Linked DNA regions of Macaca fascicularis. The protein of the gene in region 1 interacts with the protein of each later gene in a pairwise test. Links are inferred from orthologs where the notes say so. Each region holds a gene or a part of one and is shown in the gene's direction. Other genes may lie near its edges.

Evidence for each region.
Region 2: the proteins of CIB3 (region 1) and MEOX2 interact in binary tests that used the Homo sapiens proteins (3 or more experiments, as listed by UniProt). The two-hybrid records come from large-scale screens. The link is inferred for Macaca fascicularis from reciprocal best matches to the Homo sapiens genes CIB3 and MEOX2.
Region 3: the proteins of CIB3 (region 1) and KLF17 interact in binary tests that used the Homo sapiens proteins (3 or more experiments, as listed by UniProt). The two-hybrid records come from large-scale screens. The link is inferred for Macaca fascicularis from reciprocal best matches to the Homo sapiens genes CIB3 and KLF17.
Region 4: the proteins of CIB3 (region 1) and ENOX2 interact in binary tests that used the Homo sapiens proteins (3 or more experiments, as listed by UniProt). The two-hybrid records come from large-scale screens. The link is inferred for Macaca fascicularis from reciprocal best matches to the Homo sapiens genes CIB3 and ENOX2.
Region 5: the proteins of CIB3 (region 1) and TACC3 interact in binary tests that used the Homo sapiens proteins (3 or more experiments, as listed by UniProt). The two-hybrid records come from large-scale screens. The link is inferred for Macaca fascicularis from reciprocal best matches to the Homo sapiens genes CIB3 and TACC3.
Region 6: the proteins of CIB3 (region 1) and SERTAD1 interact in binary tests that used the Homo sapiens proteins (3 or more experiments, as listed by UniProt). The two-hybrid records come from large-scale screens. The link is inferred for Macaca fascicularis from reciprocal best matches to the Homo sapiens genes CIB3 and SERTAD1.
Region 7: the proteins of CIB3 (region 1) and GMCL1 interact in binary tests that used the Homo sapiens proteins (3 or more experiments, as listed by UniProt). The two-hybrid records come from large-scale screens. The link is inferred for Macaca fascicularis from reciprocal best matches to the Homo sapiens genes CIB3 and GMCL1.

Annotation. Positions count from the first base shown.
Region 1 is NC_088393.1:16,490,351-16,494,370, reverse strand, and holds the start of CIB3 (calcium and integrin-binding family member 3), read left to right. Parts: upstream 1-1,196; 5' UTR 1,197-1,281; coding exon 1,282-1,332; intron 1,333-1,563; coding exon 1,564-1,598; intron 1,599-4,020. UniProt on the Homo sapiens protein: Acts a an auxiliary subunit of the sensory mechanoelectrical transduction (MET) channel in hair cells. Plays a role in regulating hair cell MET channel localization and function.
Region 2 is NC_088377.1:114,505,926-114,510,274, forward strand, and holds the start of MEOX2 (homeobox protein MOX-2), read left to right. Parts: upstream 1-1,547; 5' UTR 1,548-1,826; coding exon 1,827-2,340; exon of another isoform or gene 2,341-2,387; intron 2,388-4,349. UniProt on the Homo sapiens protein: Mesodermal transcription factor that plays a key role in somitogenesis and somitogenesis and limb muscle differentiation. Required during limb development for normal appendicular muscle formation and for the normal regulation of myogenic genes.
Region 3 is NC_088375.1:190,618,814-190,622,834, reverse strand, and holds the start of KLF17 (Krueppel-like factor 17), read left to right. Parts: upstream 1-1,190; 5' UTR 1,191-1,222; coding exon 1,223-2,036; intron 2,037-2,335; coding exon 2,336-2,574; intron 2,575-4,021. UniProt on the Homo sapiens protein: Transcription repressor that binds to the promoter of target genes and prevents their expression. Acts as a negative regulator of epithelial-mesenchymal transition and metastasis in breast cancer.
Region 4 is NC_088395.1:136,951,093-136,954,641, reverse strand, and holds part of ENOX2 (ecto-NOX disulfide-thiol exchanger 2), read left to right. Parts: intron 1-848; coding exon 849-1,082; intron 1,083-3,314; coding exon 3,315-3,527; intron 3,528-3,549. UniProt on the Homo sapiens protein: May be involved in cell growth. Probably acts as a terminal oxidase of plasma electron transport from cytosolic NAD(P)H via hydroquinones to acceptors at the cell surface.
Region 5 is NC_088379.1:1,881,853-1,885,401, forward strand, and holds part of TACC3 (transforming acidic coiled-coil-containing protein 3), read left to right. Parts: intron 1-91; coding exon 92-268; intron 269-1,079; exon of another isoform or gene 1,080-1,262; intron 1,263-1,658; coding exon 1,659-1,735; intron 1,736-1,845; coding exon 1,846-1,889; intron 1,890-2,624; exon of another isoform or gene 2,625-2,730; coding exon 2,731-2,891; intron 2,892-3,549. UniProt on the Homo sapiens protein: Plays a role in the microtubule-dependent coupling of the nucleus and the centrosome. Involved in the processes that regulate centrosome-mediated interkinetic nuclear migration (INM) of neural progenitors.
Region 6 is NC_088393.1:47,526,805-47,530,929, reverse strand, and holds the start of SERTAD1 (SERTA domain-containing protein 1), read left to right. Parts: upstream 1-1,286; 5' UTR 1,287-1,404; intron 1,405-3,963; coding exon 3,964-4,125. UniProt on the Homo sapiens protein: Acts at E2F-responsive promoters as coregulator to integrate signals provided by PHD- and/or bromodomain-containing transcription factors. Stimulates E2F1/TFDP1 transcriptional activity.
Region 7 is NC_088387.1:52,106,675-52,110,223, reverse strand, and holds part of GMCL1 (germ cell-less protein-like 1), read left to right. Parts: intron 1-2,383; coding exon 2,384-2,507; intron 2,508-2,892; coding exon of another isoform or gene 2,893-2,936; intron 2,937-3,549. UniProt on the Homo sapiens protein: Possible function in spermatogenesis. Enhances the degradation of MDM2 and increases the amount of p53 probably by modulating the nucleocytoplasmic transport.

The DNA of each region.
Region 1 (4,020 bases):
AAAAAATTAGCTTGGCATGGTTGTGCACACCTGTGGTCCCAGGTACCTGGGATGCTGAGGCAGGAGAATCGCTTGAGCCCAGGAGGCAGAGATTGCAGTGAGCCAAGATCATGCCACTGCACTCTAACCTGGGCAAGAGTGAGACTCTATCTCAAAAAAATAAAACATCATAAAATAATAATAATAACATCAATGCGCACCCCAGAACTTCATCTAGCTTGTTCATGTTCCCAGTGCAGTGATGCAATCACGGCTCACTACAGCCTCAAACTCCTGGGCTCAAGCAATCCTCCCACCTCAGCCTCCCGAGTAGCTGGGACCACAGGCATGAACCAACACGTCCAGCTAATTTTTGTATTTTTAGTAGAGACAGGGCCTTGCCATGCTGCTTAAGCTGATCTTGAACTCCTGGCGTCAAGCGAACCTCATGCTTTGCCTCCAAAAGTGCTGGGATTGCAGGTATGAGCCACCTCACCCAACCAAAACCGAATTTTTTTTTTGAGATGGAGTCTCGCTCTGTCGCCCAGGCTGGAGTGCAATGGTGTGATCTCGGCTCACTGCAACCTCTGCCTCCTGCGTTTTCAAGCAATTCTCCTGCCTCAGCCTCTGGAGTAGCTGGGATTACAGGCATGCACCACAAGAGCAGGTTAATTTTTATAGTTTTAGCAGAGACGGGGTTTTGCCATGTTGGCCAGGCTGGTCTTGAACTCCTGACCTCAGGTGATCCACCTGCTTCGGCCTCCCAAAGTGCTGGGATTACAGGTATGAGCCAATTCACCCAGCCAAAATCTTTTTTTTTTTTTTAAATCTCAGATCCTGAGAATGACCATATGAGGTAGGTATAATGTAATTTTCATCTCATGAATGAGGTTCAGAGAAGTCAGGTGACTTGCCCAGGGCCACACAGCTAGTGGGCAGAGAGCTGGAATTTGAGCTGGCGTGTGCCCATAGCCCTTCCGTATACCCTCCCTGTCTTTTGAGTGTGCCCCGTAACCCCAGCCTCACCTGGTGGTGGCAGATGTGGCCTCCCCACTGAGGGCTTCTCTGTGATGTCCCACAGCCCTCATCCTCACCCATGGACACATTCAGGCTGTTGTCCAGAGAGCCTGGCTGTAATTTGAGTCTCACCAAGCAGGGGGTGACGGTGTGGGTGGGCGGGTGACAGCCAGGGCAGGGAGATTTGCCCAGACACTGGTACACAACAGCCTGGCAACCCGTGTGGCCCCGAGGAAGCTGGGAGCCTTCAGCGTGCATCCCCGAGTCTGGGCTGTGGTTCACACCATGGGCAACAAGCAGACAGTCTTCACACACGAGCAGCTGGAAGCGTATCAGGTAGAGGGGTCAGGAGGGGTCCTCAGTGGGTTTGACAGCTTTGGTTCCGTGGTCTGGGAAGTGGGAACAGAATCCCTTCATCCGGGTGTACCGTCTGCCTGGGTTCCTGGTTCGTTCGGCTCTGTGTGTGGCAGCATTGGGCCATCTGTGTGAGTGTGGGGTGGAGGGAGGAGGCCGTGGGAGGAGGCCCCAGAGGCAGGGTTTGGGTTAAGACAACACCTCTCTCCACAGGACTGCACGTTTTTCACAAGGAAGGAGATCATGAGGTCAGTCCAGGGAGGTGGAGAGAAAAGATCTGGAAAAACAACTTTCTATTCATTGCTGGAGGATATTTGCAATTTGGGGTGTGTGTGTGTGTGTGTGTATGGTCCTTCTTCCCTTCTTCCCTTCCTCCCTTCTTCCCTTCCTCCCTTCCTCCTTTCCCCCCTCCTCCCTTCCTCCCTTTCTCCCTTTCTCTCTTTCTCCCTTTCTTTCCTCTTTCGTTCCCCTCCCTCCCTCCCTCCCTCCCTCCCTTCCTTCTTTTCTTTTTTGAGATAGGTCTCTATTGCCTAGGCTGGAGTGCAGTGGTGCAATCGCGGCTCATTGCAGCCTCGATCTCCGAAGATCAGGTGATCCTGCCACCTCAGCCTCTCGAGTAGCTGGGACCACTGGTGCGAGCCGCCATGTGCACCTCATTTTTGTATTTTTTCGTAGAGATGGGAGTCTCACTACGTTGCCCAGGCTGTTCTTAAACCCCTGGGCTCAAGCAATCCACCTGCCTCAGCCTTCCAAAGTGCTGGAATTACAGGTGTGAGCCACCATGCCCAACTGGTATTTCCAATTTGATGGGACTCAAATGGGGAAGGGGGGCAGGTGTGGTCAGTGCATGGAGGCAGAGATGGAAAAGCTGAGAAGTCACATCTTGTCATATTGTCCCAGTCTGTAGGCTGATGAGCTTGGGCTTTCTCCCAAGGGTGGCAGGGAGCCATGGAGCATGCATGAGCAGGGCAGAGAGCATCAGCTTGTTAGAAAGAGTCTCCTGAGGCTGGGCACGGTGGCTCACGCCTGTAATCCCAGTACTTTGGGAGGACAAGGCAGGTGGATCACCTGAGGTCAGGAGTTTAAGATCAGCCTGGCCAACACGGTGAAACCCCGTCTCTACTAATAATACAAAAATCAGCTGGGCGTGGTGGTGGGCGCCTGTAATCCCCGCTACTCGGGAGGCTGAGGCAGGAGAATTGCTTGAACCTGGGAGGCGGAGGTTGCAGTGAGCCGAGATCACGCCACTGCACTCCAGCCTGGGTGACAGAACGAGACTGCGTCTCAAAAAAACAAAATGAAAGATAAAGATTCTCCTGAGACTGGGACTTGAGGCTGGGAGCCCAGGTGCAAAGTCCAGAGCCCACTACGGGTTGCGGGCTTGGCATTAAGGTGAGGGTATGGGGAGGTGGCCCAAGGCTGCTGCATGTCCCTGGTGTGACCGAGCACGATGGGCACAGATGAGAATCCCATATCATCACTCAGCCTGTGGGGCCATTGTCCAGGGGCCCCGGCCCATGAACTTGGAGCTGTGAAACCCAAGCTGGCCAGGGTTCGGCTGCAGTGTGATCGGGGCCGAGGCCCCAATTGTGTAGTAACAGGACATCCATTATTGATGGCCACACCTTTTACTCGTGAGCCCCATTGTCTGGGTGAGGACAGCTTGCAGGGTCACCTTGGCCATCATGATCAAATTACCGATGGGGAAACTGAGGCTCAGACAGGGTAGGGCTGACCCCAGGCTGAAGGGTAGATGCACAGAGCCCCAAGGCGGTTGAAGGCTGACATTTCGTCTGTCCCAAACTTCTTGCTTATCAGATAGAATAACCAAGGCACAGAGCGGGAGAGGAACTTGCTCAGAGCCATACAGAAACCTAAACCCAGGATATTCCCTGAGGGGACCCCGACAGGGAACTGAGTGGTCAGGAGGGAAGTTCTAGGTCTCCCCACCCTACCTTCATTGAGTTCCTAGTCATCATATGACCCAGGGACTCGTGTCTCTCTCAGAGAGAGTCCCTAGCAGCTTGGGAACCTCAGACCCACCAAGGATGGTCTCTGCAAGGCTGCTGCTCAGCATGCCCTAATGAAGGTATGGTGTCACCAGGTGAGGGCATCTGAGTGGAGAACTGGCCTTACAATCTAGATAGTGTGTGTGATATTCAGTTATTTGCAAAATGCCTTTTGTCTGCCCTTTAGAAAAACATGAATATTAGCTGTGTGCCTCTGCTCTGACCCGTTTGAGGAAACCGTCCCCCCCCTTTTTTTTTTTTTTTTTTTTTTTGAGATGGAGTCTCATTCTTGTTGCCCAAGCTGGAGTGCAGTGGCATGATCTCGGCTCACTGCAACCTCCTCCTCCCGGGTTCAAGTGATTCTCCTGCCTCAGCCTCCCAAGTAACTGGGATTACAGGTGCCTGCCGCCATGCCCAGCTACTTTTTTGTATTTTTAGTAGAGATGGGGCTTCACCATGTTGGCCAGGCTGGTCTCGAATTCCTGACCTCTGATGATCCGCCCACTTCAGCCTCCCAAAGTGCTGGGATTATAGGTGTGAACCACGGCACCCAGCCCCTTCCTCCCATTATGAGGAGAGGAACGGAATGTATGAAAGTGAAGGTATCTTTGGAGGCAGGGTCTTGCTGATAACATGACGATATCCAGAGATGTGTGGATTA
Region 2 (4,349 bases), on another chromosome or scaffold:
CACACGGATGTTTTTGAGAAGCCACTATTCTACAGCATGACTTACAAGAAAAGAAGATAGTGAGGCTTAAGCAGGGGGACTGGAAGAGGAGGGGGAAGGTTCTGCTTTGGGGACACCTCTCAAAGATTAATCAATACTTTTTCCTAATTCAAACCAGATGTCTAGCCCAGTTTGCTGTACCCATTAATCCCACTAACAACTTCAAAGACCTGCTCATCATCCTCTGGACACCTGAGACAATGAAAATAACGGGGCGACACTGCTGGTGGTGCATTTGGGGCCCCGGGCGGAATAGGTGACTACAGATATTCTCCTGATGCGACAGGTCCCAGATGGGACTTGACTGTTTCTCCTGCTCATTACAGAGCCACTCACTTGTGTGTAAACGACTCTGCCCCCAGCGGACCCTGTCACCCGCCAAACAAGTGGCAGTCTCAAAGCCCTGCCATCGTTCTTGCATGCTTACTGGAGGCAAATTTTCTAATTTATTTTCACGGATGCAAAGTTATAGCCAAGTGCCCAAGCTTAGTGAATTTTGGGAGCTATCGAAATGTAAGATTTCTCAGTAAATGGGACGGTGGTGATAAGGGATGCGATTAGCGGATTTATTTTTGAGGGGAAGAGAGTGGATTTCTGTAGGAAACTGCGGAGACCTAGGCTAGCTCCTGAGGGGAAAGGCTAGATATGTGCGTGCAATCTACACATCTCATGTGACCGGGACAAAATCGCCTGGAAATATTTTTGACCCAGGAAAATTTCTTCTTGGTGGACAAGTGGCTAGGAAATTGAGCGGGACCAGGAAAGAGGGGGAAGGGAGACTCCACCTGGCATCGCACAAGAGGATGCCAGGGAACAGGCATCTGCAACCCTTTCAGACTCACGCCTTCCTCCCACCCACCCTACCGGGTCCCTCTTGGTTCCGCACTGAGAACTGCCTTTTCCAGGCCATGGTACTCATCCCCACAACCTCAGATCTGGCGTCCCAGCCCATTAACAATCCACCCACAGAAACCAGCTGTGAAAACCTAGGCGCGCTGCGGCGCCCAGGGCACTGGAAGATGCGAAGTTTGAAAAACTTCGAGGATGCGCCTAACTAGCTCTGATCTTTTCGTTTAACCCTATTACTTCTTTTGGGTTCCTGAAAGGCTAGGCATATCCCTAGCTTTTCTGCAGGTGACAGTTCACAAATGACACTGACAAATCACGATTCCCGGAGAGGAAAGTGAGTAGGTAGGAATCAGGGTGCTGGGTTGGGGGTGGTGTGCGCCGCGCCCAGGCCTCCAGAGTCTGGAGGGCAGAGCTGCTGCCCTCCCGGGCGGGACTTAGGCACTGGCGTGCCGCTTGTAGCCCTGGCAGCCGGCAGTGCTGGGCGGGCGTGGACGCTCTGCGTCTGTCCAGCAGGCGATAGGAAGTGGAACTGGGGAGCGCGTGGCGCAAACTGAGCGGGAGTTTTGGAGGGAGTTTGCATGTGGTCAACTCTGGGCTCCTAAGCCGGCCCCCAGCTCACGTTACACTCTATTTATAACCTCTCAGAGCCATTTCCCCCTGAAAGCAGTTCTCTGGGACCACCTTCTTTTGGCTTCAACCTCTCCCACTCTTGACATCTGAGTAGTTCAGGGAAGCTCTTCCAGGTCCGACTGTTCATATGCAAAGGAGACTGGTCGCTGGGGCTCAGAACCGGGATTATCCGAGCTCTGCAGAAGTGCACGGCTATTGCTTTGGGAGGGTAAAAAAAAATCATACGGTTTCCAGTGAAAAGTGACAGAGGGTGGTGACCTTTGGAACCGTCCTGAAGTCTTCTGCCTGGAACCTGAAACTTGCATGCTATGGAACACCCGCTCTTTGGCTGCCTGCGCAGCCCTCACGCCACGGCGCAAGGCTTGCACCCGTTCTCCCAATCTTCTCTCGCCCTCCATGGAAGATCTGACCATATGTCTTACCCCGAGCTCTCTACTTCTTCCTCATCTTGCATAATCGCGGGATACCCCAACGAAGAAGGCATGTTTGCCAGCCAGCATCACAGGGGGCACCACCACCACCACCACCACCACCATCACCATCATCAGCAGCAGCAGCACCAGGCTCTGCAAACCAACTGGCACCTCCCGCAGATGTCTTCCCCACCGAGTGCGGCTCGACACAGCCTCTGCCTCCAGCCCGACTCCGGAGGGCCCCCAGAGTTGGGGAGCAGCCCTCCGGTCCTGTGTTCCAACTCTTCCAGCTTGGGCTCCAGCACCCCGACTGGGGCCGCGTGCGCGCCGGGGGACTACGGCCGCCAGGCACTGTCACCTGCGGAGGCGGAGAAGCGAAGCGGTGGCAAGAGGAAAAGCGACAGCTCAGGTAAGGGCGCACCAGGCACCCTCGAGAGTGCGCGCCGGCCTGGAAAGGGGGCGGAGAGATGCCAGGGGAGATTCTCGCACTACAGGGTGGCAGCGGGGAATATGGGAATGTGTTGCCCTTTGTGGCTTCCCGCGGCCAAATTCGGCGGTGAAGCTTTGGTCCTGATATTTGGGGGACACGTGTTTATCCGAGAGCAATGCATATACAGCCAGCAGCTCTAAGCTCTCCAAGGTCCTAAACTAGTTTACCAGAAGGTTGATAAAAAAGGACAAGTGGCTGTGAAATCGATTGCGAAGCGTGACCTTCCATCCCAGCGCTGGGGAGGGAGGGGCGTGCGCCCAGAGATGCAGCGTCGGTTGGGCAGGCGTGCGTGCGGGTGCCGCTTCTTGACTTTTCTCTTGCAAGTTCCCGACTGTGAGTGGCTCGATTTTTCCCATCGTTAACTGGATTTCCAAATCATTGCACAATATTTGGAACTTGCAGTGGAACTTGGCAGAGCGCATGAGAAAAAAAAAAGTTTTAGTTTTTTTTTTTTTTTTTCTAACATTCTTATTTCAGCGTTCTTTAAATAGCACCCTATTTCAAATGGTAAAATTTTCCCTTTATTGGGGAAAAAGACATTATCTAGGAATTCAGATTTTAAGGAATGTGTCAGAGAATTGTAAATAAATAGATGCTCACATTGGAAGAAAGACGAACCTTAATAGTACATGTTCATGTGGTGTAAGCTAATTACAGAATCAACGTTTCAAAAGTGGAAAACAAATCCCTCTACCAAGTGGGTATTAGTAGAGACAAATACAGCGAAGCAACAGTAGCTCGGGTAGTGTTAGTTAGCTACGTGCCTGAAGGTGGTATGTAAGGGTGCGCGCAGGAGGCGCTGATTTTAGTGGGGGATAATTTGAGCAGCCACGGAAAAGGGAAACCTTTCTGACCTCTGGTACTTGAAGACACACTTGCCGAGTAACTTTTCTGTAGCAATCCAGAGAAACTCAAAGTTTTCCAGACCACTTTTCAAAGCTCTTACCTACCTGTATTATCATAAAATTGTTAAAAGATACTTTAAAATTAAGAGACTTGTGAGTTTTCTTTCGTGGCTATAGTGCAACCTGGATTGCATATTTTTGGAAGATATCATTTGTTTAATATAACATTTGCATATTTTTCTTCCTCTGCGGAATTGGGTTAATAATAGTCCTAGAAGGTAATCCCATATGTTGGTTTGAAGTATTGGACAAATGTTTATCGTGTATAAAGCTTTAGGTAAGATGCCACCTAAATGAAAATGATTGACCGCATATTTAATATTCCTTCACCCTTCACAGCAATATCAATTGTTATTCAGCAATCCTATGGGATGGATTCTTCTGTCATGGTCTCAAAAGCTAACTTTTATTTTCCAAGGTCAGGGGGTGAACTTTTAATGTTCTGTCACAAATTAGTTTTTATAAGAAAATTACCAGTAGTGTCACTGATATTTAATGTACTTTCCTAACTATAAGTGAAAGTCTCTTTAGATAGTGAGTTGAATGGTTAATCATAGCAAGAAGGTTTCAATTTGTATTAGAAAAACAGTCAATTTTAGAATGCAGTGACAATTTCATAAACCGAACATTTGATATCAGTGTCACTTTGGAAGCAGATCCCAGTTCAGGTTGATGAGAGTACTCTTGCAATTCCCGTAAGCTCTTACTGTTCATTTTATTTTTTGCAATGAGTAACCTACATGACAGATTGTCCTTTATGCTTCCTGAACTGAGCCATTGCTCTTAAGTTTCTTAGGGCAAACTGAATTTTCATACAAGCACATGTTATTTTGTTTGGGGGAAACCAAGAAAGTGGAATTCAGTAACTGATTCCCTTAATTTATTTTAATAATTTTTTTAAAGTGGAATAATTTAACAAAACGTGTTTATCTCTCCTCCTAACTTAGTGGGAAATAACCATTTAACAAAATTAAGTTCATTTCTACATGTTGAAGCTGATAATGAGGGTACTGGAAAAACAAG
Region 3 (4,021 bases), on another chromosome or scaffold:
TGGACTCAAGTGATTCTCCTGCCTCAGCCTCCCAAGTAGCTGGGATTACAGGCACACGCCACCATACCTAGCTGATTTTGTTTTTGTTTTTGAAATTTCTGAGCTCAAGCAATCCACCTGCCTTGGCCTCCCAAAGTGCTAGGATTACACAGTTGTGAGCTGCCGTGCCTGGCCTACTGACAGGTTTTAAAAACATGGTTCTTGGCTCCTATCCTATTTTAAGACCTTCTACCACCAATCTCTTTCCTACCCTTCATGCAAGTCAGTCATCGAGGGATACTGCCCCTGACTTCCAGACAACCCCCATCCCTTTTTTTAAGAAGTGTTTTTGTCATATCTGCCTTTTCCCCATATCTCCACCAATGCTTGATCTCCGACCTGCCCAGGCAGTTCCCACTCAGGGCAGATGCTCTTCCATAGGCAAATATTTGCAGATGATGTCTAAGTTTTGCTAAAGCCAAGACCCATCTGCAGCCTCAATTCCTTCTATCTTTGTGGCTTTCTGCACCCGTTCTGCTGGTTTAGGATGTTCTTTCACTTTCACACTTATGTATAATTTGGAGTTTGGGCTGGGCGCGATGGCTCACGCCTGTAATCCCAGCACTTTGGGAGGCCGAGGCAGGCAGATCACCTGAGATCGGGAGTTCGAGATCAGCCTAACCAACATGGAGAAACCCCGTCTCTACTAAAAATACAAAATTAGCCGGGCATGGTGGTGCATGCCTGTAATCCCAGCTACTCAGGAGGCTGAGACAGGAGAATCACTTGAACCCAGAAGACAGAGGTTGCGGTGAGCCGAGATTGCGCCATTGCACTCCAGTCTGGGCAACAAGAATGAAACTGTCTCAAAAAAAAAGAAAAAAATAAATTGGAGTCTGAACATTTTCTCAGAGTTTTGCTGAAGGTGTAGGTTATGGACTGTTTTATTTGTTCTCTTTGTTGCTTTGTGTGAAATAAAAACCAAAAACATGTCCGAGAGAAAGTGGCATGAGTTACGGCTAGGCTTCTATGGGGCTTGTATCAGCCAGACCGCATGTGAGAAAGCCCAAGCTGGAAAATGGTCTGGAGGCAGGATATTTTTCAAGCAAGAGATGGAAACAGAGGGCTGGATTAGGATGGGGTCTGGGAATGAAGAGGAGGGACATGTGGAACTGGAATTTGAGCAAAAATCACCTGACTCTTTCTCCCCAAGGATAACGAGAACTCAGCGCCCATCTTGAACATGTCTTCATCTTCTGGAAGCTCTGGAGTGCACACCTCTTGGAACCAAGGCCTACCAAGCATTCAGCACTTTCCTCACAGTACAGAGATGCTGAGGTCCCCCTTGGTGTCTGTTGAGGCGCCGAGGCAGAATATGGATGAAGGAGGGCCACAGTTCAGTATGCCACTGCCTGAGCGTGGTGTGAGTTACTGCCCCCAAGCGACTCTCACTCCTTCCCAGATGATTTACTGTCAGAGAGTGTCTCCCCCTCAGCAAGAGATGATGATTTTCAGTGGGCCCCAACTAATGCCCATAGGAGAGCCCAATATTCCAAGGGTGGCCAGGCCCTTCAGCGGGAATCTAAGGATGCCCCCCAGTGGGCTGCCAGTCTCGGCTTCCACTGGAATCCCAATGATGTCCCACGCTAGGAACCCTCCAATGCCTTACCCTGGCCTCTCGACAGTGCCTTCTGAAGAAACATTGTTAGGCCCGACCATGCCTTCCACTGAGGCCCAGGCAGTGCTCCCATCCATGGCTCAGATGTTGCCCCCACAAGATGCCCATGACCTTGGGATGCCTCCAGCTGAGCCCCAGTCATTGCTGGCTTTAGGGTCTCAGGACTCTCTTGTAACTCAGCCGGACTCTCAAGAAGACCCATTTCTACCAGAGCAGCCCAGACCTGCTCCACAGACAGCAGAGAAGAACTCCAGGCCTCAGGAAAGGACTGGTAGAGGGGGCTCCTCGGAGGCAAGGCCTTACCGCTGCAACTACGAGAACTGCGGAAAAGCTTATACCAAACGCTCCCACCTGGTGAGCCACCAGCGCAAGCACACAGGTGAAGGAGGTGTCAGGTGGGGTGGGGATGGAGGAGTCTCTGGGCTTTTGATTTGTCCTGGGACACTGGTGGGTAATTGTTTGGGATGAGCCTTTCCTCTTCCAAGCTTGGAACTAAGCTAGACTGGCTCCCCGACTTGCCATACAGGAGGACTGGGGTGGGCACTCCTGATTATGTTGCCGCTCCCTGGTTCCCTGGACCTTCCCTTTTGAATCCTCAACCTGGACTGCTCTGCCTCAGAGTCGGACCCCTTCCTTCCTACTCTATTCTAAATTCCATCTCTCCCTTGTCATTCCCAGGTGAGAGGCCCTATTCTTGCAACTGGGAAAGTTGTTCGTGGTCTTTCTTCCGTTCTGATGAGCTGAGACGACATACACGGGTACACACCAGATATCGACCATATAAGTGTGATCAGTGCAGCCGGGAGTTCATGAGGTCTGACCATCTCAAGCAACACCAGAAAACTCATCGGCCAGGACCCTCAGACCCACAGACCAACAGTAGAGAGCAGGACGGTCCTCCTGCTGCTGGTCCTTAGGTCAGTCTCCTCTCCTCATTCTGGCTTTTTCCTTTTTTTTTTCTTTTTTTTTGAGATGGAGTCTCACTCTGTCTCCCAGGCTGGAGTGCAGTGGCGCGATCTGGTTCACTGTACCCTCCACCTCCCAGGTTCAAGTGATTTTCCTATCTCAGCCTCCCGAGTAGCTGGGACTACAGGCACGTGCCACCATGCCTGGGTAATTTTTTGTATTTTTAGGAGAGACAGGGTTTCACCGTGTTAGCCAGGATGGTCTCAATCTCCTGACCTCGTAATCTGCCCACCTCGGCCTCCCAAAGCGCTGGGATTACAGGCATGAGCCACCACACCCAGCCTCATTCTGGCTTTTCTACACAGATCTTACCTGCCTCTGGCTAGATCTTCTCTTCAGCAGGTGTAGGATTAGATGAAGATAGGAAGATTATGGGTCAGTGTTGAAGCCCACACGAAGTTCTGCAGCCAGTTAGAGACTCCTCAAACCTTGTCTTGGATGCTGTTAACCTCTCTGGGGCCACCTGCTTCTGCTGGAGTTTAGTCAGATGGGAATGTGGAGTACAGTAGAGATTGGGAGCTTCATTTAAAAGCTCTTGATTTCTTTTTTTTTTTTTTTTTTTTTTGAGACGGAGTCTTGCTCTGTCGCCCAGGCTGGAGTGCAGTGGCCGGATCTCAGCTCACTGCAAGCTCCGCCACCCGGGTTTACGCCATTCTCCTGCCTCAGCCTCTCCAGTAGCTGGGACTACAGGCGCCCGCCACCTCGCCCGGCTAGTTTTTTGTATTTTTAGTAGAGACGGGGTTTCACCATGTTAGCCAGGATGGTCTCGATCTCCTGACCTTGTGATTTGCCCGTCTCGGCCTCCCAAAGTGCTGGGATTACAGGCTTGAGCCACCGCGCCCGGCCTTAAAAGCTCTTGATTTCTTGTCGCTCTCCAGCTTAAAACCCTTTAATGACTCCTTCGCTTGCTACATAAAATCCAGTTTCCAGAGCCAGACTATTTTTAAATCCTGAATTTGCCACTTAATATCCTTGTGACCTTGGGAAAGTTCTTGGATCCCTATGCCTTGTTTCTTCTTCCAGAAAATGAAAAAACTAGTTTTGGACTGTATTGGACATGGCACATATGGCATCAGATTCTCCCTGGCACTCACTGGCCACATACCCAGAGTTTCTGTTTCTTCCCACCATTTCACAGACTTGGATGGAATGCCCTAGCATAGGGCATGGGATCTGGCATCCCAAGTTGCTGCTAGCAAACTTAGAAGTATGGGGAAATTTATTTATTTATTTGAGACAGAGTCTTGCTCTGTCACAATGGCTGGAGTGCAGTGGTGCAATCTCAGCTCACTGCGACCTCTGCCTCCTAGGTTCAAATGATTCTCCTGAGGCAGAAGAGCCTGGATAGCTGGGATTACAAACACACGCCACCACGCCCGGCTAATTTTTGTATTTTTT
Region 4 (3,549 bases), on another chromosome or scaffold:
CTCAGTTTTCTGTTTGGTATAATGTTTACCCTGCAAGCTTGTGCTGAGAATGAAATGAGATAAATTCCTATGGAAGTATCTAGCTGAGCTCTTGAAACTTAAAAAGTACTTAGTTTTTTCCCCACTTTTTGTTAAGAGACATGACTTGGGTAAGTATAGCTGGCACAAAAAGAGGAGGTAGGGAGTTGAATACTGGTTTTCTGAATCCCAGTCCTATACTACTATATTATAATCACACTACATCTCTTTTTTAAGGATCCCAAATTATATGTCACGTGGGTCACACACCACTCCCCATCATTTTTTTTTTTTTTTTTGTCAGAAAAAAAAAAAAATGGTTCACAGTTGACAAATGCTTCTAGGAAACAATTTTAGGGATTAAAATGCCAAGTTAATGCATTTCAGTTTTACCAAAATTTTTGTGATAGTATAATGGACACTCTTGAATTTATTTAAAGACAAGTTCATTTGAGGCCACCTTTTCCATTCTTCCCAGCCCTTAGTACCATATAAGGATCATGCTTGATATTATTACCCACGGAGTCAACCTCAGCCAGAGGTAAGGTATTAGATGGAGGAATGGAACTCTTAAGAACAAGACTAACCCAACCCATAGAATGTGACCTGTTATCAGAGATAATTTAAGTCTTTTGATGATTTACTTGCTAAGCATCGGAGAGAATTTGGAGTTGTGTGGTCACTTGGAACTGCTGCAGTGACATCTGAAACACTGAACTTGGAAAAGTATTTATAGTCTTTCATGTCTCTCTCTCTCTCTCTCCCTCCCCCCACCCCGCCACCCCCCGCTCTCCCTCTCTCCTCTCCCTTTCACCCTCCTGTGAACTTAGGTTACCGCATTCGCCTGGGCTCTAGTACTGACAAGAAGGACACAGGCAGACTCCATGTTGATTTCGCACAGGCTCGAGATGACCTGTATGAGTGGGAGTGTAAACAGCGTATGCTAGCCAGAGAGGAGCGCCATCGTAGAAGAATGGAAGAAGAAAGATTGCGTCCACCATCTCCACCCCCAGTGGTCCACTATTCAGATCACGAATGCAGCATTGTTGCTGAAAAATTAAAAGGTATCAAAGGCACTCAAGCTTCATGATTAAAAGAACTCTTTCCTTTAGAGAAGTGTAATAAATATAATTGTGTTGTTGACAGTTGCCCTTTGAGTTTCCTACTACTGGATTCTAAGCATTTCTTGTGTTGAAGCCTTGCAGATAGAGGGGTGTACCTAGTAACTCAAGAACCAGGAAATGTATCCCTACTACCTGTGTCTCTGCTCCTTCATTGTCTCAAGGGATGGCATTTTTCTCTTCAGACATCAGGCGGCTAGAAATAAACAAGTTTTCCTCACTTTTCCACTTCAGAGAATTTTAGGCATGATCTATGTGACTTGGAACCTGTAAGAGCCCTCTTTTATAGTGGATACAAGTTAGGTTTTAATTCCAAGTCAAATGAGTGAATCTGGATGATAGGATTTGATGTGTTCCTGAAAAACTCTGGTAAAATTCTCATTTTAAAGACGAGAAAATTAAGGTCCAGAAAGTAGTCATGCTGTACATTCTTCTTAGATTACTCAAAGACTTAGCCACCACCAACTAAAAAGTAAAGACTTTTAAATCACTTTAAAAGACCAATTTATTTAAAACAGTGACTCTGGAGACATGTAGACATTGCTTAATCAGACTGCTTTCCCATTAGTTTTGATTCTTGTTCCCCTTGTTTGACTCTCAGCCATTTTGTTAATTTAACATTAATTGCTCTGCCTGGTCTCCTGTCTTAGTAGCTCAAATCCAGTCTTTCTCATTTTCTGAGTATAGATGATTTTATTGGATGAATGCTGGTGTCCCATTGATCTTATTGGTAACACCAATCCAGCTCTAATGGTATGAATTTTCCCTTCTTCTTGTGCTCTCAGCTCAGCAAGATACTGCTAATCCTACTTTCCAAATAGGTTTCCTTCACCAGACATGTTTGTACCTCATAGCCTAAGGGATTCACACATGTAAGAAATTGGTTTTGACTTTCTTTAAGGGAAAAGCAGAAAATCTAGAGTCCAGAATAGAGGCACAGAAATAATGGTACATTTTGAAAAACTGGAAAGGCTGAAAGCATTGGTAAGATTGCCAGGTCCAAGACTTGCCTATTTGCACAACACCAAACAAATCAGTTTAAGTTTAAAAAAAATGAATTTAATGGGTGTGTGACCCTCAAGAGAAGCAAAAACTGAGCATCAACATAAAGTCTATATCTAAGTAATAAAGTGAAAAGCTGCTATAAGGGGAGGCTGATTGCTTGTTATATGTCTGCACTGAAAAAGGGGCAAGAGGCAGGAAGTTCAAATTGCAGTGAAAGAAATTTCCATTTGACATAAGGGTTTCTAGCCAGAGAAGGATGTGAAGCCCTTGAATAGATCCAAATGGGCTCTCCCTCTCTGGAGCCTTTACGAACAGAATGCGTAAGTGGCTATCTTGGGGAGCTGAACCAGAAGCTTTGGAAGAGCTGTGCTCTTAACTATCTTAACTAATCACAGAATAACTCCTAACTAGCTGCAGAAATCTACATGGAGGGTTCTTCAGGCAAGAGAAAAGAGGATATGGAGAAATATAGAAATAAAATAAATTGCATCAAAATAAATTGTGACTGGGACTGAGTGGAAGGCCTGGGGCTGTGGATTGAACACAGGAGTGATACTATAAAAGGTTGAAGATGTACATGTTTGTGTCTAAAGAATGACCCACTTAACTCTTCCCTGAGGCTCCTCCCAACACTGTAATTCCATGGATCCAAGGTAAAGTTACTGTCAAATTCGAGTTAAACTCAGGATTCAACTTTGCTTTTCCTCATTAAAACACAGGACTATAGAATTCTGAAGTTCCCTCACTAATTCATGTTTTTTTTTCTCTCTCTCCCCTCTGCCCCCTGCCCCCCTTCTCTCTCTCTCTCTCTCTTTCTCTCTCTCTCTCTCTCTCTCACACACACACACACACACACACAGAGAGGGTAAGAGATTTGCAATACATGAAAGCTATATATCAGTGCAGAAAACTTTTTTCAAGGAAACATTTCTCTTTCTGAAAATTCATCATAGACCACAACCAATCTGACTGCATTGATCCTTCCATTCTTCCTGTTTGTCTGCCTGCCTACTGCCTGTGTGTGCACATGTGTGTATGTGTGGCTCCTCATCCTCATCAATTCATTTACCCACCACTGCCAAAAACCATGATGCCCTCTTTGCCAGCATGTTGGGAAAATAGATCAAAATGTGGTTACCTTTGTTGGTTATAAAAATATATTTTTTTCAGATGATTCCAAATTCTCAGAAGCTGTACAGACCTTGCTCACTTGGATAGAGCGAGGAGAGGTCAACCGTCGTAGCGCCAACAACTTCTACTCCATGATCCAGTCAGCCAACAGCCATGTCCGCCGCCTGGTGAACGAGAAAGCTGCCCATGAGAAAGATATGGAAGAAGCAAAGGAGAAGTTCAAGCAGGCCCTTTCTGGAATTCTCATTCAATGTGAGTGGAACTTAGAGTTCTG
Region 5 (3,549 bases), on another chromosome or scaffold:
GTGGGCCTTTCCTTCCCCACCCCCCCAACGCCAGGTCACAGGCAAGAGGCAAGGGCGAAATGGGTTCCTGGTTCATCCCCATCTCCTGCAGGTGCCAGGCCCACCTCCAGGTGTCCCCGCACCTGGGGGCCCACCCCTGTCCACCGGGCCTATAGTGGACCTGCTCCAGTACAGCCAGAAGGACCTGGATGCAGCGGTAAGGACGAAGAGAGTGGCTATTCCACAGAACCTGCAGGCCACTCTGGGGCTTGGCCAACAGTGGGCACGGGTGGGGTCCAAACAGCCTGACCAGCCATCCCTGCCATCCCTGCCCCTGCTGGTCAGGGTGGGATTGCAGAGAGCTGCCGGCCCCTGGCCTGTCACTGCTGCCCAGGTTGCTGAGGGTCCAGGCTTCCACCCAGTGTCCCCGCAGTCAGCTGCCCACCAGCAGCTTCCCCAGGACTCTGTGGCCTGGGTGCAATGCTCACCTCTGGTGGCCTTGCAGCAGTGTGTGGTACTCGCTGATGTAAACCCAAGTGTTGTCCCTTTCCTGCTGCCCTCCCACAAGTCCAGACGCATCTCCTGGCAGGTTAGGAAGCTCCATCTTCACCCGCCCCACACCTGAGGTCCCCTGCCTTGTCTCCCTCCATCCTCACTGCACATGCCAGGCTTCAGCCTGTTCTAACTCCAGGCCTAAATTGTCCATAAGAGAGCTGTAGGCACGCAAAGGGGCTGGGTGTCTGCAGGCACCGCTGTGAGCTACTGCCACCAGACAGTCCCCAGGGAGGTGGGTCCCAGGGTGGCTCCGGAGGCCGGCTGGCAGGGCTGGGTTCAAGCCCCAACATCCATACCAGTGTTGCTCGCAGTGGCCCCAACTGCGATGTGATGCGGCCCTGACTCAGTTCCCCAACAACGCCCTCCCTGTGTCAGAGCCCATGCGAGGAACCCAATAGCAGGGCTGGGGACCACAGCGTGGCTGGCCCCCTCCTCTGCAGGCCTGGACTCCGGGGGCAGGTGGCCCCTGCATGTAACTTATATTAGAAATGCAAAATGCTTGTTCCCTGGTGCCACAAAGAAATAGCACTCGAATATAACTTTAATTTTCTCAGTAAGGCAGTTTTTATTTTCTGCAGAAAGCGTGCCCCTCGCAGATGGAACAGTGGCAAGAGCACACTTGAACAAGGGAGGGGAAGGGGTTCTTATTCCTGATGTAGGTAGCCCCTTCTGCTGTAGTGAGCAGAGATCGCGCCACTGCACTCCAACCTGGGCGACAGAGCGAGACTCTGTCTCAAAAAAAAAAAAAGATCTGAACATACTAACATACTGATTCTTTGAAGAGAAACTTGGGGTTCACTATATTTAACAATTAGGACCTCTGGTGTCCGCCACTGGGCTGCGGGGGTGGGTGCAGGACACACACCTGTTGGGTGCCTGCTGGTTCCACCCAGGATCACAGCCCGAAGCCCCAGGCCTCCTGCCCCCGGCAGTCGAGTGCATGTGGAGCAGGCAGCCTTGGCCTCAGCGGGTTTCCCAGGGTCCCACTAGAAGCCCTACATGGAACTGTGGCTCTGGGACATAGCTCCGGGGACCTCGGGTGTCGGCTGGCCCCATCCTGTGGGGAGGTCTTGGGAGGGTCAGTCTGGCCCACCTGCCTGCTGACCTGGGTGTGGCCCGAGCAGGTAAAGGCTACACAGGAGGAGAACCGGGAGCTGAGGAGCAGGTGTGAGGAGCTCCACGGGAAGAACCTAGAGCTGGGGTAAGGAGGCTACGCCCCCTGTCCTCCCCATCCCTGTTCCCGTGCGCATCTCCACCTGGCCTGGAACCGCTGGCCACCCGAGGCCATGGCTGTGTGCTCTCCTCCCACAGGAAAATCATGGACAGGTTCGAAGAGGTCGTGTACCAGGCCATGGGTGAGTTCCCAGGCCGCTGAGGGCACCCACCTCCAGGAGGAGCTGCCTATGCCCCACCCTGGCCCTGCCCCGTACCCTGCCTAGGGCCCCACCCTCCTGAGGCCCCTCTTCCTAACACACAAATCCCCTCAACATGGGCCCAGCTGTGGAACCACTGAGGCAAGTTGTGGGGAGATTGGTGGTAGTGAGGCTGGTGGCTCCCACAGAACCAGCACTTGTCAGGCCCCAAAGTTGTGCAGATGCTGAGCTAGCAGTGGGGCTGTGGTGGGAGCAGAACCTGTCCCGCCATGGCCTGCTCCACTCCACCCTGCCCTCACCGTGCGGATGTGTCTAGCATCAGCTTCTGTAGGTGTCTGGCAGGACAGGAACACCGGGCCCCACCCGGCCTCCCAAAAGCTTGGGCTCCTGGAGGTGCTACTGTGGGGATCTGTCTTAGGCTGAGTGTCAGCTGGGGGCAGGTGACTGCCTGGCCCTTGCAGTCCCTCCAGGACCACCACGACAGCACGACCCACAGCCTGGAGTTCGCTGTACCGGCTCCCAGGCCTCACCCTAGACTCAAGGATGTTGGGCGCCGCCTCTCTTTGGGGACCTCTGTTGCTGGGCCCTGGCCCAGGCTCCAGTTCCCTATGGATCTGATGTGGAGGAAACAGCTGTTTTCTGGGCCTTGCTTCCGGCCTAGGAAGACCCCGGGTGGAGGGGCTCATTGCCCTGCTGAGGCTCACACCCACTACCCACCTCTCCTCCTGGCACTCAAGCGCCTCGCCTCACTCCTTGGGCCGTCTCTGGCACCTAGCGTCTCGGTTGCCTCCTCATCCTGAACGTTTGTTTTTCTTTTCTCAAGAGGAAGTTCAGAAACAGAAGGAACTTGCCAAAGCTGAAATCCAGAAAGTTCTAAAAGAAAAAGACCAACTTACTACAGACCTGAATTCCATGGAGAAGTCCTTCTCCGACCTCTTCAAGCGTTTTGAGAAACAGAAGGAGGTGATCGAGGGCTACCGCAAGGTATGTTCCCGCTGCCCCGATGTCCTCACCTCGGAGGTTGATGGACTCATGGTCCAAGCCAGCGGGGCTACAAGCTGCTGTTTGCACCTTGGTCCTTGGCCAAGCCTCCCCTTGCCATGGGGGCATGGGATGACCTGTGAATGAGACAGGGTGCAGGAGTCACAGCTGGTTTGCAAGGCAGCTGAGGGTGGTGGGAGGCAGAGTGAGCTCTGCTGTTATGTGAGAGACGACTTGGCTATGATCAAACACCTGTGAGATTTGAGACAGTGCTGGTGCACCGGGGCCTGGAGCACTTCAGAAAGGGCGTCAAACCTGGGCTGTCTAAGCGCTTGGGTCCCAAGGGTTGGGGACCCAGGGCATGCAGTATCCAAGGCAGGAGGCCCATAGAAAGGTGGTCACGGCTATGCAAGGTCACCCTGGCGTCCTCCTGGCCATAGGACTCTGAGCGCCCTCCACCTTCTGTGCTGGGCAAGGCCCATGTGCTGCTGGAAGGAGGGATGTCTGGGCCATCCATCTGCCTGGAGCAGGCCTGGAAGGTACCTGCGAGGCCACCAGAGGGTTCTGCCCACAGCAGTAGTGTTGGAGCGGAGGTGCTCAGTGTCTCCTGTAGAGGAGCTGGACCTGTGGGTGCAGCTGGAAGAGGGCCTGTCACCATTGG
Region 6 (4,125 bases), about 31 Mb from region 1:
CAGCTATTACTGCTAACAAGGAAACGTGTTGCTAACCAGGCACGGTGGCATGTGCCTGTAGTCCCACCTGCTTGGGGGTCTGAGGCAGGAGGATGGCTTGAACCCTGGAGGTCTAGGCTGTAGTGAGTTGAGATGGCACCCCTACACTCCAACCTGGGTGACAGAGCGAGACCCTGTCTCAAAAACAAAATAAAATAAAATAAAAAGTAAAGAAAAAAAAAAAAAGGCAGCTGGGCGCGGCATCTCAGGCCTCTAATCCCAGTACTCTGAGAGGGCGGATTACCTTAGGTGAGGAATTTGAGATCTGCCTGGCCAACGAGGTGAAAACCCACCTCTACTAAAAATACAAAAATTAGCCGGGTATGGTGGCACACCCCTGTATTCCCAGCTACTCAGGAGGCTGAGGCAGGATGATTGCTTGAACCTGGGAGGCGGAGGTTACAGTGAACTGAGATCGTGCCACTGCACTCCAGCCTGGGCGACGGAGTGAGAATCTGTCTTAAATAAATAAATAAATAAATAAATAAAATGAAAAAAACACAAAACACATTGCACCCCACTCTGAGGATTTTGCATGAATTGTTTTATTTAATCCTTAAAACAATCCTCTAAACTAGGGGCTATTTTCTCTCATGTTAAAGGAGAAAAAGACCCGAAGGGATTAAAACACTTGCCCCAGGTCACACAGCTGCTTAGGGAATGGAGCCCGGGATGTGATTCCGCACTCCCACCTCACTGCCGCCCTTAACCACAATTAAGTCCAACTGTCCAGCATTGCTTGAGTGTGGTATTGTGTTCTTATAGATACGATCCTATTTAAACTTTCTTGTCAAGAGGTATGCAAGACGATCCCCATTTAACTTTGTGTAGCTTGAAGAGGTTGATCATTTTTCCAAGGTCACGCATCGAGTGAGTGGGGAATCAGGAGTCGGAATTTGAACCCGGGCATATCTGTAGTGTAGACCACTGTCGGGGGTGGATGTGTAAGAAGCTTAATTGCCGGGTTTGGCAGGTGCATGGGTAGTTGTCAGGGGCTCGTACTTTGAGAGGCAAAAGCTCCCACTCGCCACCGTCCCCCAGAGTAAAAAGCCACCTCTTTCCACCCCTCACTCGCGCAGCTGCCCGGGCATGCGCCCAGAAGCCCCTCCTTCAGAATCCGCCCTTTACAGGCTCCGCCCATCACCGTAGAGGGCCAATCCCTGGGGCGGAGGGCGGGGCAGCCACGAGAGTGGGCGGTCGCTAAGGGTAGTTAGGAGTCTGGAGTCGTGAGCCGAAGTCAGAACTGCGTCTCGCGACCCAGGCGCCGGTTGCTGGAGGAGAGCGAGCAAGCGATGCTGCCGCTGCCGTTTCCTGATTGGTTGTGGGTGGCTACCTCTTCGTTCTGATTGGCCGCTAGTGAGCAGGGTATGTAAATGAAGGGGCCTGGGAAGAAAAGGGGTACCAACGGCCGGGTCCTTCACGGAGTTCGATCCCTGGGTCCGACAGGTGCCCGCCGGGGCTGCCCGGGATCGAGACGCGCGGGCCTCTACGTGCTGTCTGCCCCGGCCGGGCCGGGTGAATCACGCCGCAGTCCGAGAAGGGGGCGGAGGCGCCGGCTCCTTGGCTCCGGCTGCGTGACTCACCCGCCCCCGCCGCCGCCGCTTCGGGAGGAGCCGCCTCCACTGCCGGAAGCGAGCGGAGGCCGGGCGCAGAGAACAGCCCGCCTAGGGTCCTGGCTCGCACGGCGCCGGGAGGCCTGCAGGAATCACAGCCGGGAAGGGGGGCAGTAGAAGGGGTTCTGGGGTCAGAGGGGCCAGAATCCCCAGGGGAAAGCCGGCCTGGGCACCGCCAGGGGGCGCCGGGACTCGGGGGCGGAGTCGGGGGTGGGGGCGGAATTCCTGCGGTTCCGGACTCCACGGACTGCGGGGAAGGGGACGAAGACCCAGTTTTGAGTAGTGTGGTGGGCCACTCTTAAAATCTTGCTAGGCAGGGTCCCGGAACTGGACTCTGTTCAGTCTTCCTGGCCCAAAAAAGTAGGTAGCGCCAGGGGTCCAAAACTCCATCCAGCCCTACCCCCGCCACTCCAAGAAAAGAGTGGACCCTCAAACTTATCTCAGTGACTGACCCCGGTGCCGATCACGATTTCTCGACAAGCCCTGTCTATTCTGCCTCCCAAAGAAATCCTGACTCGACCGACTTCCTTCCATACCCACTACCAGCTCCTGCTCCAGGCCATCACTATCGTCAGTCCCAAACCAGTACAGCCTACTAGTGGGTCTCAGATCCCCCCTCTTTTTGCCCCCTACAGTATTCCTCGAAGCAGCCATGGGGGGGATCTTCCGGAAACCTAATCAGCTCACACCCCCATTCCCTCCGTGCTCAAATTCCTTTAATGACTGCCCACCACACTCAGGATAAAATCCAAACTCCCTACTAATGCATATGTGGTTTTCTGTGACCTGGCTTGTGCCCATTCCCCCAGCCTCTGGGCTTTTCTTTGCCTTTTTTTGTTGTTCCCTCCTCCCGGAATGCTTTTCCCAGGGTCTCCCATGGCCGACTTCTCTGGCCTGAGGGCTCCATTCAAATGTCACCTCCTTACAGGAGCCTTCTCTGATCATCTAAAAGGTCTGCAGGACCTTTTAGTGTCTTCCTGTAATTCTCCGTACATTTCCTGTGTTTGCTTATTTATTTACTGTTTGAAACGTCATAGTAGACAATAAGTGTTAAACTATGTGAAACTAGTTTAGTATTTATAATATAACTTACTTAGATATAATTATTTATAACGTTATTATAATATATGAAACAGCTGCTTTTGTAGGGGAAAAAGTTGAATGGTCATTCCACATGGTTCACTGAAGAAATAATAATGTTATCATTAAGTGTACTTATTGGCAGGGCATGGCAGCTCACACTTATAATCCCAGTACTTTGGGAGGCTGAGGCGGGAGGATGGCTTAAGGCAAAGAGTTTGAGACCACCCTGGGTAACATAGTAAGACCTTGTCTCTACAAAAAATAAAAGGGGGGAAAAAAAAGAGTGTTTATTGATTGAGGGGGGAGGATCACTTCAGGCCAGGGGGTTTGAGACCAGCCTGGGCAATATAGTGAGACCCCATCTCTTTTTTCAGATTAAAAAGTCTATAAATATACTTAAATACAAAATTTAAAATTTAAGGCCGGGCGCGGTGGCTCATGCCTGTAATCCCAGCACTTTGTGAGGCCGAGATGGGTGGATCATGAGGTCAGGAGATCGAGACCATCCTGGCTAACATGGTGAAACCCCATCTTTACTAAAAATACAAAAATTAGCCGGGCGTGGTGGCGGGCGCCTATAGTCCCAGCTATGTGGGAGGCTGAGGCAGGAGAATGGCGTGAACCCGGGAGGCAGAGCTTGCAGTGAGTGGAGATCGCACCACTGCACTCCAGCCTGGGCAACAGAGAGAGAGACTGTCTCAAAAAAAAAAAAAAAAATTTTTTTTTAAAGTCTATAGGCTGGGTGTGGTGGCTCACACCTGTAATCCCAGCACTTTGGGAGCCAGAGGTGGGCGGATTACTTAAGGTCCAGGAGGTCGAGACCAGGCTGGCCAACATGGTGAAACCCCACCCCTACTAAAAATATAAAAATTAGCCAGATATAGTGGCGTGCGCCTGCAATCCTAGCTTTTGGGGAGGCTGAGGCACGAGAAACACTTGAACCCGTGAGGCAGAGGTTGCAATGAGCTGAGATCACGGCATTGCACTCCAGCCTGAGCAACAGAACGAGACTCTATCTCAAAATAATAATAATAATAATCTATAAATATACATATGCAATTAAATAAAAATTGTCTATATCTTTAAAGTTCCCTAGGAAAAGCTAGACACAGAGAGGTTAAGTGACTTGCCCAAGATCCTACCTGTAGCAACTGTCAGATCCAGGCTTTGAACTGAATATTTGTTTTCTATAACTGACTATAACTCCATAACTCCCTGCCCTCTGCAGATGCTGAGCAAGGGTCTGAAGCGGAAACGGGAGGAGGAGGAGGAGAAGGAACCTCTGGCAGTCGACGCCTGGTGGCTGGATCCTGGCCACGCATCAGTGGCACAGGCACCCCCAGCTGTGGCCTCTAGCTCCCTCTTTGACCTCTCGGTGCTCAAGCTCCAC
Region 7 (3,549 bases), on another chromosome or scaffold:
TTGAAGAATGAGTAACTGGTGTATGGTATTTTGAGTAAATAGATCTATTTCCAATGTACCTCTTCTTTGAGTAAGAAGACTACTAACTTGGTTATAGGTGGGGCATGCTTTGTAGAGCAGAGTTTCCCAAGCTTTCATGGATCACAGCACATTTCATGTTTTAGTAATTTTCACTCCTAGTCCAAAAGAAATAGCTCATAATTAGGGCCAAACAACCTAATGATAGCAGATTGCATGGTATCTGAAAGGTGTTACTGTGTTTCCTTCAAATTTAAAATATTCCACATGCCTCTCTGAGTTGGCTGTGGTGCTCTAAGTTCAGATGGTATCCTGAACTGGTGAATTTCACACAGAGTTTGGGAACCATGACTCAGGGTGAATGGATTGGGAGTGAACAGGCCACAGATTCTTTAAATTTCAGAATGAGGATTGCTTTGTCTGGGCACCAGCAGCTACACTACAGCCTTAGATCTTCCATTAGCTTTGTGCTGTTTCTAGAAAAGCCTTGGAATATTTTTGCCTCAGTATCTGTACTCTCCTTATCTATAATCTGTGTTCATAGAGTGGAGAAGGCACTAATTTCCCCATTTTCTGCCCCTCTTCTTTCTTCTGCCTTTGTTTCCCTGAGACCTCATCCTACTTTTCTCCCAAGGGTTCTAACGGGCAGATAAGCTTAGCCTCCATCCTAGCCCTCCATAATGTATTTTTTGGCTATGGCTTTCACTGTTCTTTTTCATTTGAATTTATTTTCTAACCTTCAGATCTGTGTAAATCTCTCATCAAGTGATGAGTCTACCCTTTACCTTTTCCTGGTGTGGACTTATTCCTTTTTGTACTCTTAATCTTTAATGTAATTTGGGGAGGGATGGGAAGCCAACATGTGTACATTCTGCTATCAGGAACTGGAAACTACATTGTCTCTTGATTTCTTATCATAATCAATGAAGTGGGTACTATTAATGTCCTCTTTTTACAGCTGTGATAACTGAACAGGGGGGCAGCTAGGACTCAAACCCAAGTCTGTTACCACTAAGGCATGTGCTGTTTTTATTGTTGGCTAGGAAGAGGTGTTAAGTACACAGGTGTTAAACTCACCGGTTCAGGATGTCATCTGAAACAATTACTTCATTTTAAAAAAGAGATTGAGGGCCGGGCGCGGTGGCTCAAGCCTGTAATCCCAGTACTTTGGGAGGCTGAGACGGGCGGATCACGAGATCAGGAGATCGAGTCCATCCTGGCTAACACAGTGAAACCCCATCTCTACTAAAAAATACAAAAAAAAAAAAAACTAGCCGGGCGAGGTGGCAGGCGCCTGTAGTCCCAGCTACTCGGGAGGCTGAGGCAGGAGAATGGCGTGAACCCGGGAGGCGGAGCTTGCGGTGAGCTGAGATCTGGCCACTGCACTCCAGCCTGGGCGACAGAGCAAGACTCCGTCTCAAAAAAAAAAAAAAAAAAAAAAAAAAAAAAGAGAGAGATTGAAAGTTTTATGTGCTAGGAAAGCTGTCAGAATTGGTCAGGAATTTGAGATATTGATCAGCCTCTGCCTAGAGCCTTTTCTTGGTTACTGGACCATTTTGAGCAATAATTTTCAAACTTTATTTTTTTAGTCAAGTTCTTCCTTTAAATTAAATCTGTGCAGAAATCCCGTATGTTTACAGATATAATAGGTGATGCTGCTCTGGTTCAAGTTAGATGGGATACTCACAGTTCACTCCTCAGCTCTCCTTGGTGGCCCCTAAGACTTCTCCTTTGAGCAGTTTTTAAAAACCTTTCATCTGAAATAAATAAATAAATAAATTTAAAAAACTAATAAGAAAATAAAATCTTTGATCTAAGGTTGCAAACCATTTGTCCAGCGGGAAGAAAACATTTTAAGTAGTTTAAGAATAGGTTGGTACCAAAGTAAGATTAAATGTAAATCATTTTAAAATTACTTGGGTAAGTGAAATGTTTACTCTTGTTCTCCATTTCCTAGTTGCAGATTATTGCACTATTTGAGTTCCTTCATAGTGCTGGTTTTTAAATAAGGAAATAAGCAAAAAAATCAACATGCTAACTTCTTAATCTATTGAATAGGTAATTAAATTAGTCCAAAATTGCTAAAATGTGTGTAGTGAAAAGTCTGCCTCCCATGCCGCCCCCATTTCTCCACTATCTCTCTCATGCATAGAGGACCCCAGAGATAACCACTATTGTTAATTTCTTATGTACTCTTCTAGACACAAGAAAATTTGAATATATACTCTCCCCCTATCCTTTTACACAATAGGTAAGTTGACTCTATTTAATAGAAATTGAATAAAAGGAGTATTTAGAAATATATGCAAAATCAGTAAAACATTCAATTTATATAAATATGTGACTTTTTCATTTCTTTTAACAGGAAAAAATTAAAGAGTACATCTAAATATATTTATCAAACATTATTTTTGAATGGTGAAAACAGTGACATTAAGATTTGTGCTCTAGGAGAAGAATGGAGCTTACACAAAATATATTTATGTCAAGTAAGTATTTTTTCTATTTGAGTAACAGAGTAATCACTTAAACTCTTAAATCATGTTCTTTCTCATTGCACTTCACAGTAATCTTTTGCATGAACACCATAGTGGTTAAATCCTCTCATTTGGTAAAATGTCTGTAAGAAAAATGGTAAGCATTGTTAGTGAAAACTAAGTTTGGTCTAGAAAGAGATTTTGAGATTTCAGTATCATACGAGCCTAATACTACGTATTTGTCATTACTTCATAAAGTGCTTTTTTCAGTGTCTTCTGTTGATAAAAGGGGAATAGTTGGGGAAAAATATTTAACATTAAAGTTAAGATCGTAATGTGTTTATTTTGCTTATGGTTATTTAAATTGGATAAACTCACCTGAAATGTTGCTTTGTAGTTCACATTGAGTGTGAGTGGAAAGTTCTCCCCTGGAAAATCCAGGTAAAGACAACACCAAAAAGTATATAGACTAAGTCGATTTCTGTACTGAAAATATTACTACTTGCACCCCACTTTAAAAATTCAGAACTTTCATAGCCGGCGTGGTGATGGGCACCTGTAATCCCAGCTACTCAGGAGGCTGAGACAGGAGAATTGCTTCAGCCTGGGAGATGGAGGTTGCAGTGAGCTGAGATCGTGCCACTGCACTCCAGCCTGGGTAACAGAGCGAGACTCTGTCTTAAAAAAAAAAAAAAAAAAAAAAAAATCAGAGTTTTCAAAATAGAATACAATGTTGCTCTAAGGGCCCAAATATTTTATTCCAGATATTGGTCTAGGCACTAGGAATAAAACAACAGTTTTTATCGTTTGGAACTTATATTTTTCCTCTTTACCATTTGAGAATAATTACTGGTAAGACAGTATAGTATAAACTTTTTCAGTAGAAGTATTTGGAAAGGAATTGCCTTCTCTAACATTTTAATCATGTTTTAAAATGTGTTTTTGAGACCGGGTGCGGTGGCTCACGCCTGTAATCCCAGCACTTTGAGAGGCCGAGATGGGCGGATCACAAGGTCAGGAGATTGAGACCATCCTGGCTAACACCGTGAAACCC